Schizosaccharomyces pombe: one gene and its partner. Changing the gene in region 2 together with the main gene of any one other region gives a genetic interaction. Each region holds a gene or a part of one and is shown on either strand. Other genes may lie near its edges.

Evidence for each region.
Region 1: of klp5 (region 2) and mad3, a mutation in one rescues a mutant of the other (synthetic rescue), as found in Schizosaccharomyces pombe (one study listed by BioGRID).

Annotation. Positions count from the first base shown.
Region 1 is NC_003421.2:995,836-999,628, reverse strand, and holds mad3 (mitotic spindle checkpoint protein Mad3), read right to left. Parts: upstream 2,214-3,793; 5' UTR 1,942-2,213; coding exon 1,009-1,941; 3' UTR 790-1,008; downstream 1-789. Other genes in the region: SUA5/yciO/yrdC family protein Sua5, read left to right, coding at 1-687; vcx1 (CaCA proton/calcium exchanger), read right to left, coding at 2,813-3,686, 3,743-3,793. UniProt on the Schizosaccharomyces pombe protein: Component of the spindle assembly checkpoint which is a feedback control that prevents cells with incompletely assembled spindles from leaving mitosis.
Region 2 is NC_003423.3:1,708,581-1,714,102, forward strand, and holds klp5 (kinesin-8 family plus-end directed microtubule motor Klp5), read right to left. Parts: upstream 3,538-5,522; 5' UTR 3,342-3,537; coding exon 3,311-3,341; exon of another isoform or gene 3,255-3,310; coding exon 634-3,254; 3' UTR 501-633; downstream 1-500. Other genes in the region: IMP dehydrogenase Gua1, read left to right, coding at 1-301; cay1 (cactin), read left to right, coding at 4,523-4,648, 4,695-4,946, 5,002-5,094, 5,141-5,522. UniProt on the Schizosaccharomyces pombe protein: Has a role in establishing metaphase during mitosis. Required for chromosome segregation where it generates tension during kinetochore capturing.

The DNA of each region.
Region 1 (3,793 bases), on a different chromosome or scaffold from region 2:
CTTATTTCTATTTCAGATTCGCCGTTAGCTGCACCATCGGCTAATGCTTCAACAAGGCCATCTCCTACGTTAGCTAAGCACGTTTACAATGATTTACAAGGTAAAATTCCTTTAATTTTAGATGGGGGAGCATGCGGTGTTGGTGTGGAGAGTACAGTTGTAAATGGACTTTGTGATCCTCCCGTAATTTTACGGCCAGGAGGCATAAGTTTAGAAGAAATTCAAAGCTCTGGAGGGGCCTGGGAGCGAACAAAAGTATTCGTAGCTAAAAAAAGTGATATGGAAACAGATTTCATCCCTCAAACTCCTGGTATGAAATACAGACACTACTCTCCAACTGCCAAAGTGCTACTTTTTGTCAATTACACAGAATCTGATGCATACGGTGTTTTTGAAAAGTATTTATCTGAGCAGGGAATCACTAAGGAAAAGCAGAAGATTGGTGTTTTATGTAGTAAACGTTGGAACGAAGAGTCATTCCCTTCTCACTGTCCGTTTGTATTTTTGCATATGGGAAGGGATGGACATGAAATTACAAAGAATTTATTCGCTCAATTGCGAGATTTGGATCTGCAGGGAGTTGATTTTGTTTTGGTTGAAGGTGTCTCCGAGGAAAATGAAGGGCTAGCTATCATGAATCGTTTGGGCAAAGCTGCTTCTGTGGTTTTTGAGGGGCCTTCTCATTAGTTAAAATATTTATAGCTAAGGGGTCTTAGCTTTACTTGTATAGAGGTGTAATTACTTATCGAGCTATCTGTTTATTATTTTGATAAATTGTCTATAAAAGAATTATTTATATCATATTCATTAACTTATGGCTGACTATAATTAATTTGAGAGTAAAATATAAAAAAAAGCTGCAAATCGTAGTATAAATAAGATGCTTTATGTTAAGTTCGTATAACCCTTAAAATTCGCATGTTTCAACCTATTTCTTATTCCGGGAGTCATGATGTACAATAGTTGTTAATCTAATAACGCCAATACTTTAAATCTTTTCTTTATCGGTTATTCTTTCGATACTTCCTCATCACAATGAACTTGAAATTTCCCAAGAGGGTCCAATTTTCTTGGAGATTTCAAAGGCAACTTTTCGCCTACCCAAGAAGTAGCCGATATGTTGTTTTCTTTACGCCTTTGATCAACTGTACCAAGAGTTTGCCAGGTCCCAGGTTGGCCATCCTTTCCAGAACCATCCGCATCTGAATAAACAGAAAATTTAAATTTAGGTTTAGAAATTTTAGTCCTAGACTGGGATATTTCCTGGATATTTGTTGACTCAAATGTCGTTTGTAAAGGATTAACCGAATTTGTATTTGAAGAGAATGATTGTGGGGCAAATTCCAACCAACGGTGAGTAAATTGCTGATACTTTTGCTGAAATCTCAAAAATGGCTTAGCCTTCATTCTTTTTCCTTTCTGATAAACTTCGTCAGCTTTTTGAAACAATCCCCTAGACTCGAAATAATTTGCGTATTCCTCATAAAAAATCGAGGACTCCTGTCCAATATGATGATGTGCCAAGAAAGAAAATAATTCAACCGGTTCGTCTATATAGTTTACATATTGCATCCATATTCGTAAATACCGAACATCATCTTTATAAAGCGGATTTCGTACGAATTCTCGAGTACACCTTTCTAACAATGTTACCAGTCCACTAGTTTTTGTTTCACCTTGAGGGAAATTATCCAAGGTCCATTTAATATAATCGATCCAAACTTGTAGTGGATCATCAAGAGACTCGCTCGTCTCTATTTTTCGTTCATGGCCCATCCTTTCTTTTTGCAGACCAGCAACTTCTTTTTCGGTGTGGTTTCGCGACGAAGATTTTGCAAGTGCAGAAGCTGAATGACCAGCTTTTCTAGGCTCTATGTTTTCCTTGGACTGCTCAATGACATCCATATGCACCCAGTTCTTGCCAGCATCTAATGGTTCCATTTGTAGTCAATGTCTTCCAAAAAATTAGTAAACCTTTTCTAGAGAACCCTATACCTTCCACTAAATGAAAATAAATAAAACAAAGAAGGAGATGTGAGTGTAGTAGTATTGGAAAGTTTATTTAGACAAGTACAATTCTATTGAAAGAACGAAAATAGCCAGTATATAGTTTAATAGAAGGTGTACTGAAAGCTTTTGTATAAAATTAAAAGTGTCAACACTCAAAGAGCAAGAGTAGGAATGTATGAAAGATTGTGCGTAAATTAGAAGGTAAGTGCCAACTTGACGCTGGGGGAGGGTATCATACTTACGCCTGGAAGAGTCCAATGAAAGAGATAAGAAGTTTTTTCTGTTTCTTCGAATATACAGAAACAGAAGAAGAATTAAAATTAACCACTTCACATACTAATGGCTTGTATTATTAAATCATGTAAAACACAACCTACAAAACAACTAATAAAAATAAACAAAATGAAGATTTATAAACAACGATTTACAAGAGTTTATTCAAAAATTAATTTTCTATTTTCATAGCTGGTAAGACACATGAAACTGAGACTGAAGAATGAGCGACTTAAAAAGCTACTGTAAACAAGCAGATATTGGCTTGACCTGCAATAGAAATTTAGAGTTGTGTAGTCATTGCGAAAATGGGAGATTTCTGCATAATTTAACACTTGCATACTAAAAAATAAGTCTGCAAAATATCCTTGTAACAGAAACCAAAAAAAAAAAAAATCTAGTATAAAAAAATAAGAAATCAATAAGTTCGGTATGATAGTTTCGTAAAGTAAAACACAAAGAAATCAAGAGAGTATATCAAGCACATAAGAGTAGACATAATAAGGAACTAGCGAGGGAACGACAAAATTTATTGAGGGTAGTAGAAAAAGGCGAGAACAACAATCGCATACAAAGCAAGTAATTGAACACCTTCAAGCCAATGAGTAGCACCATCTTGTATCAAGTAATTAACCAAGAAAACAGACACAAATAGAATAACTGTTTCCAATGATTCAAAGTAAAGTGTTAAAGGTTGGGAGATGATCCATCCGACGATTACCAAGAAGGGAGCTAAAAACAAAGCAATCTGAATACTGGAACCAATAGCAACACCCAAAGCCAAATCCATTTGTCCTCGGTAAGATACCACGATTGCAGTAACATGTTCGGCAGCATTTCCTACAACAGGAAGGATGACCAAACCAACGAAAGTTTTTGAAATGTTAACTTCCTCAACCAATTGGTCTATCGAACCTACTAAATAGTCTGCGCAAAGAGAAACAAAAACCGTGACGATAGCAAGCATGGCAATGGATGAACGAAGGCCTAAAATTCGAGGTTCAGTTTCTTCTTCCACTTCACTGGGATCATGACAGACATGCTTATGAGTCTTTAATTGGAAAACTAAAAGTAAAACATAGACGATGAGTACAATAACAGCAGTTCCACGAGAGACATGGAGAAGCGCATTTTCGCTATTAGCGTTGTCGGGAAGGCTGTAATGGAAAGTCGCAGGAATCAATATGGTAGCAGTAGATAAAGCAAGCATTGCAATCATAGTTTGTGCAACAGTGATATTAAATGTGGTAATTTCACGACGAATACCAGTAGTTACGAGACACATTCCAAAAACAAGAAGCAAGTTGGATAATATTGATCCGAGAAGGGACGATTGAACGATGCGGAGCTCTCCTCTTTTCAAAGCAAGAACGCCTACAATGAGCTCGATGGCATTTCCAAAACTGTACACAACGTGTTAATAAAATAACAAAAGAAGACGATAAAGTAGGAATCTTACCTAGCATTCAACAATGCTCCCAATGTTGGTCCGCTAATTATAGAGAGTTGT
Region 2 (5,522 bases):
AATGGAAGGTACTGGTGTTAATAAGAATGCTTCTACTGGCCGCTATTTCTCTGAAAACGATGCTGTCCGTGTTGCCCAAGGTGTCTCTGGTTTGGTCGTCGACAAGGGCTCGCTTCTTCGCTTTTTACCTTATCTCTACACTGGTTTGCAACACGCTCTTCAAGATATTGGTACCAAATCTCTTGATGAGCTTCATGAAGCTGTCGACAAGCATGAAGTTCGCTTCGAGTTACGTTCGAGCGCTGCCATCCGTGAAGGTGATATCCAAGGTTTTGCTACATACGAAAAGCGTCTTTACTAGTCGTGTATAAGGATATTTAGGAAAAATTTAATTAAAGTTAATAAATTGCATTTATAGTACTTATTTTTTTTTCAAGTCAATTGTGTTTTGCTTAGGTAGAAAAAAACAAAATTATGTACATTGGAGGTGGCAGACATATATGTACGCTTGTATTTGATAGTGCATTACGAACGAATTGTGCAAGTTTACTAAGAGAATTTTAGGGTTTATAAATATATAATCTAATAAGTTATTAATTCATTAAAAATTCATATCATCAAGCTTATCCGTTTTTTTTTTTTAAATATACCCAACAGGATATTTAGAGGATTCGTATTTGAATATACGGACCTTTAGGTGGCTTTCTCTTCTTCGTTTTCAGCCATGCTTAAAGATTTCCTAATAATGTTAGCTGGATTTGAAAGATGAAGAGTAGTCAATGAACTGAGGCTTTGTCGAGTCTTCGGTTTAGAAAAATCAAAGTTGTGAATAGCTTCATTGTTGAGGATGAATGTTGGTGAGTCCATATTGGCTCTGGAAAAATTCAAATCAGGAACTTTTGGGACTGGACTACCATCCAGATCAATAGTGTCCAGATGAGGTAAAGAAACATCGTCAGTTGACGAGTCCTCGGCCAGCAGTTGATCAAGCTGTGTGGATTCACTATTAACTTCTTGCTTTTTCTCCAAAGGACTTTTTATCAAAAGTCCAGGTTCTGGTTTATCTTCCAACATCGGGGAGACAGGCGAAGTAAGATTAATTTCAACATCTATCTGATTCTTATTTTCAGGCCGTTTATGTGCAGGAGTTGAAGGCATATGCATAGTATTAAAGAAGTTCATGTTCTTTAACTTAGAGGTTTGAATGGGTGAGTTATACGCGGAGGCACCTGAGTCAGACGTAGACATTGAATCGTCGAAACGAACCCTCTTTTTTGGAGAACGTTTTGAAAATACAACTGGTTTTTTTGGAGACTTCACGAAAAACATTCGAGGCAAGTTATTATTAAGCAAGGGTTGAGTGGGAAAACTATGAACTCTATCACGATTGATAGTTCGTGAATCATCGGATGTTGAGTTGAGCTTATAACTTTCTGATAAGACAGATATATTAGGTTTCTCGCCAAGACCAATGCCCAACAACCACTTTTCCAGTATCGAGAATAGCTCTTGCATACCTCCCTCTTTTAGCAATGAACTAGCTTTGAAAGAACTTCTAAGAAGGGATTCTAAAACAGGAGTGAACTCATCAACTTTATTCTGAGCATCTAGAACCTGATTCTCAATAATTGATTTTAGCAAGTCAACTTCATCCTGTAACACATCAGCGTACATGGTAGCACCTTCTTGTTTGTATGTGTTGATAATGTGAGAAACACTTCTCTGAAACTTTTGGTATACAAGTTCAGGATCTATATCAGCAATGATCTCTGCACGACGAGTTAACAATGATTCTAACTTTGAACGAACTAAAAATACTCGTTCATCTGCGGAATTCGGAAGTATTCGCTCATAGCAGGATAACCAGTACTTAAGTACGCGAATTGAATCATCAAAATGTTTCACCTTTTCTACCTTATTAATAGTATCATTTTGCAGTGGTAAAGTCTCCTCAAATGTCATACGCAATAAATTTCTGGCTTCTGCAAGCTTCGATTCATGAGCAAAAGATTGAGTTACAGCGTCCTGATCAGAACCATTTGATTGCGATGACAAATCGATCTGTGCGAGACGATTCTCCAACTCTGAAATTTGCTCACGTAACTCAACGATTGCTTTTACATATTGGCTTACATGTCGATCTACACTGATCATGTTCCTTAACACTTCGGTTTTGATATTCTTTGCTCGATTAGCATATTTTAGAGTATTGTGAGTTTCTTCGTAATGAACAGAAGACGGAGATACGCAAACAATCATAACTGTCCGACAATTTCCGCCTAAACTAAACTTAAGTAAGCGAGTAAGTTTAGAATCACGATAGGGGACATGCGCACGGCGATGGGGATCACAAAGGGCATTGATACAATTTCCTAGGGCTAAAAGAGATTTATTAATATTAGCACCTTCAAAAAGACGACTACCTCTTAATTTGGTAGCTGTTGCACGTTCTGAGCCAGCCAAGTCAATAATTGATAAAGTGGCCAAAGTGTGGTCCTCATTGATGCCAGCTGTACGAGGTTTTTGGATCAACGTAACCTGCAATACAGCATGCGAACGAGATGAAGCAGCGTTAGCTTCTGTCGGAGACATAGTACGATTAGCATTTCCCTTCATGATAATATCAATGATTTCTTCCAAAGATTCTGGAGACAAAGAAGTAAGACCTGGTACAGTAATGCGACGGTCTGCATCTTCCCGTAAATTTAATGGCTTTGCTTGATTTGGGGTCGGTGATACTAATAAATCACGAATAGTTTCATTATAAATTTCCAAATAGGAAAGGCGAAGGTCAAAAATTTTTTCATCTCTTAAATGATCCATTCTCTCAAAAAGTTCTTTTAGTGTCAAATATATTAAACCAGGATCTTGCATTGTTCCACTAATGGTGTGAGTTTTACCACATCCAGTTGCTCCATATGCAAAGATAGTAGCATTGAATCCATCCAAAATATTGTCTAATAACGGCCTGGCAGTTCTCTCATACACCTGTTGCTGAGTAGCAGTTTCATCAAAAACCCTATCAAAAGCATAACGAAGATCACGGCCAAATCCCGCAGAATTGTTTGACTTTCTAGATAATCTAGCGAGACTCTGTTGAGAAGTAGAAAGTCTGCGGTTTGTGGCACTCAAAGTAGCCGTTGTTTCATCCGGGGGATCAAATACCAAGACACGTCCATCAAGTACCTTTACTACTCGTCGAATTTGACGTCCTGAACCAGGGTTCCTTAAGGAAGAAGATGTTCCAAATGATAAACGATCTGAGGATGCAATTAAATTTGCAGATTCAGCTGTACTAAATGGGCGAACACGGACTATTTTATGTTAGCAAAAAGATATGAATTTAAAAAACATCACATTAAAGACTAACCTGTAACGGTAATGGACGACTGTCTTGACATTGAAAAGCAAAATTTCCATGCAAGCAATCATCCAAAACAGATGAAAAGAAGGGCACTCGCAAACAACAATTCCAATAACCTTCTTGAATAAAAGCAATTTATATCGAAGATCACTATTAAAATAGATGTAACAGTAGAAAAGAGCGAGAAACGCGTTTTTTGAGTGCGCTTCAATGTTGACTGTTTGGCATTTGCCAAGTTACATTTCTTAGTCAAGTAACGCACTTTGTTTTGAATGGTTGTTATGGCAATAAAAGATGTAAACAATTACATTATTTACATATTTTGACAATAAACACAAATACAGGTAGTTACGATTAAAATCGAGTTGAAATACTGTTTTACCTTTTCATTTTCACTAGTTGTGTATAATGCTATCTCAGTATCATAGATGCTTTTACAGTATTTTTATTATTATAAAAGGCAACTAAATTCGATGATTGAACTGAATCGCTATCGTTTGGTTTGTAACTTATAATGTACACATGCCTGGCAAGATTCTTGCTTTGCTTTACTTTTATCACACTTTAATAAATCGTCCGACAAATTTAAATCATTTTCACCTATAATTGCAATAGAACATCAAATAAGTGTATATATTCTTCTAGCACTTCTATAAACACCACAACTGCTGCACTAGCTACTTTATTGCCAATTAACTGATGGCCTAAATATCTGATTAGTTTGAAAGCAGAGGACTAGTGAGCGCTATAAACAAAATTATATTCTATATTTTATATTGGGTATTCCTATATTCGTTAGGTACTAAATACTGAGTTTTACTTCACCTTTTAGTCGATATCGTTGAGACTTTTACCAATAGCAACTATAATGAATTAGGGGTTTTTCGTGCTATAACATTACCGCTCAATTTCTTTCAAACCACCAAGCGTCAAATTAGAACTACCTACTAAGCATTCGAATATGCAATAAAATTTCACCTTTGCCATAACCATAAATTTTACTATTGTTGGATAAGTCTTATTATTGCTAAGTAATTGATTACCTTAAGTTCATTTATCAAATAACAAAGCTCTACGTTTCAAATTTCAAAAAAAAAAACTTAACCTACTCATTGAGTTGTTTCAAATAAAAAAAAAGCAATTGGATTCTCTTCTGTTGGAAAGCACCCTTCATACAGCAATATTGGTATTTAAGGCATTGAATTTAAATATATTACTATGGCATTTCGTGATTCAACTCGCGATTTCAACAGAAGTAGACCTGAAAAAAGGCATGCTTCGAGATCTTCTTCACCTCGTTCATTTCGACCTTCAAATCAAAATGCAAGAGCAAATTATAATTTAGTAAGTAGGAAAATGTTAGTTGTTTTTGAATTAACCTTCCCTTTAGCCGAGAGTGAGAGATGCTATGAAAGAGGAAGAGCGAAGTAGGGAAACGAAAGAAATGCAAGAACGGGAATTTTTGCGTTTACAGCAGCTTCGAAGAGCTATTATTCGACTTAAGAATGATCGTTCTAAGCCTATAGATAAACTTCTTGTCAGCGTTTACTTGATGCCAGGCCCAGAATGGGAAGAGAATGGAGAAAAAAATTCAATTGATTTTGGAACAGTTGACATGTTTGATCCACTCTCTGTTATTCAAGTAAGGGACTTATTTTATTTTTACTTTATAACAGATTAATCATTAACATACTTAGAGTTATAAAGCAGAAGATTTGGAGGAGATATCTAGAAATATTGGTGATATTCAGCAGCTGGAAACGAACCAATGTAGACTAACTTATTGGAAGGTATGGATTATTTTTTATGCTTTAAGTGCTAAATTATACATTATAGTACGTTAAAATGCTAGTGAATTCTCGAATGGAACATAACAAAGTTGGGCAATTTTCAAGAGGGTTAAAGGTCGTAGCAGGTGAAGTACAAAGGATTTTAGCCCCTAAATCTTTTGAACAATTAGAACAGCTTGAGGCACAAATTCAAAAAAAATTGAAGAGCAATGTCCCTCTCGATACAGATTATTGGGTTGATTTACTAAACTCTTTAAAATCTTACAAGGCCATTGCTTATTTAAAAAAGACTTTTAATGAAGAATTACAAATTCGAAAAAATAAACTTGATAATGAAGAATGGGACAAAGCTTTTTCCGATGCCAAAAAACTGTCAAATATGAAGGATCGTGAAGAGAAGTTATATATTGTCCCTATAGACCCGAAGC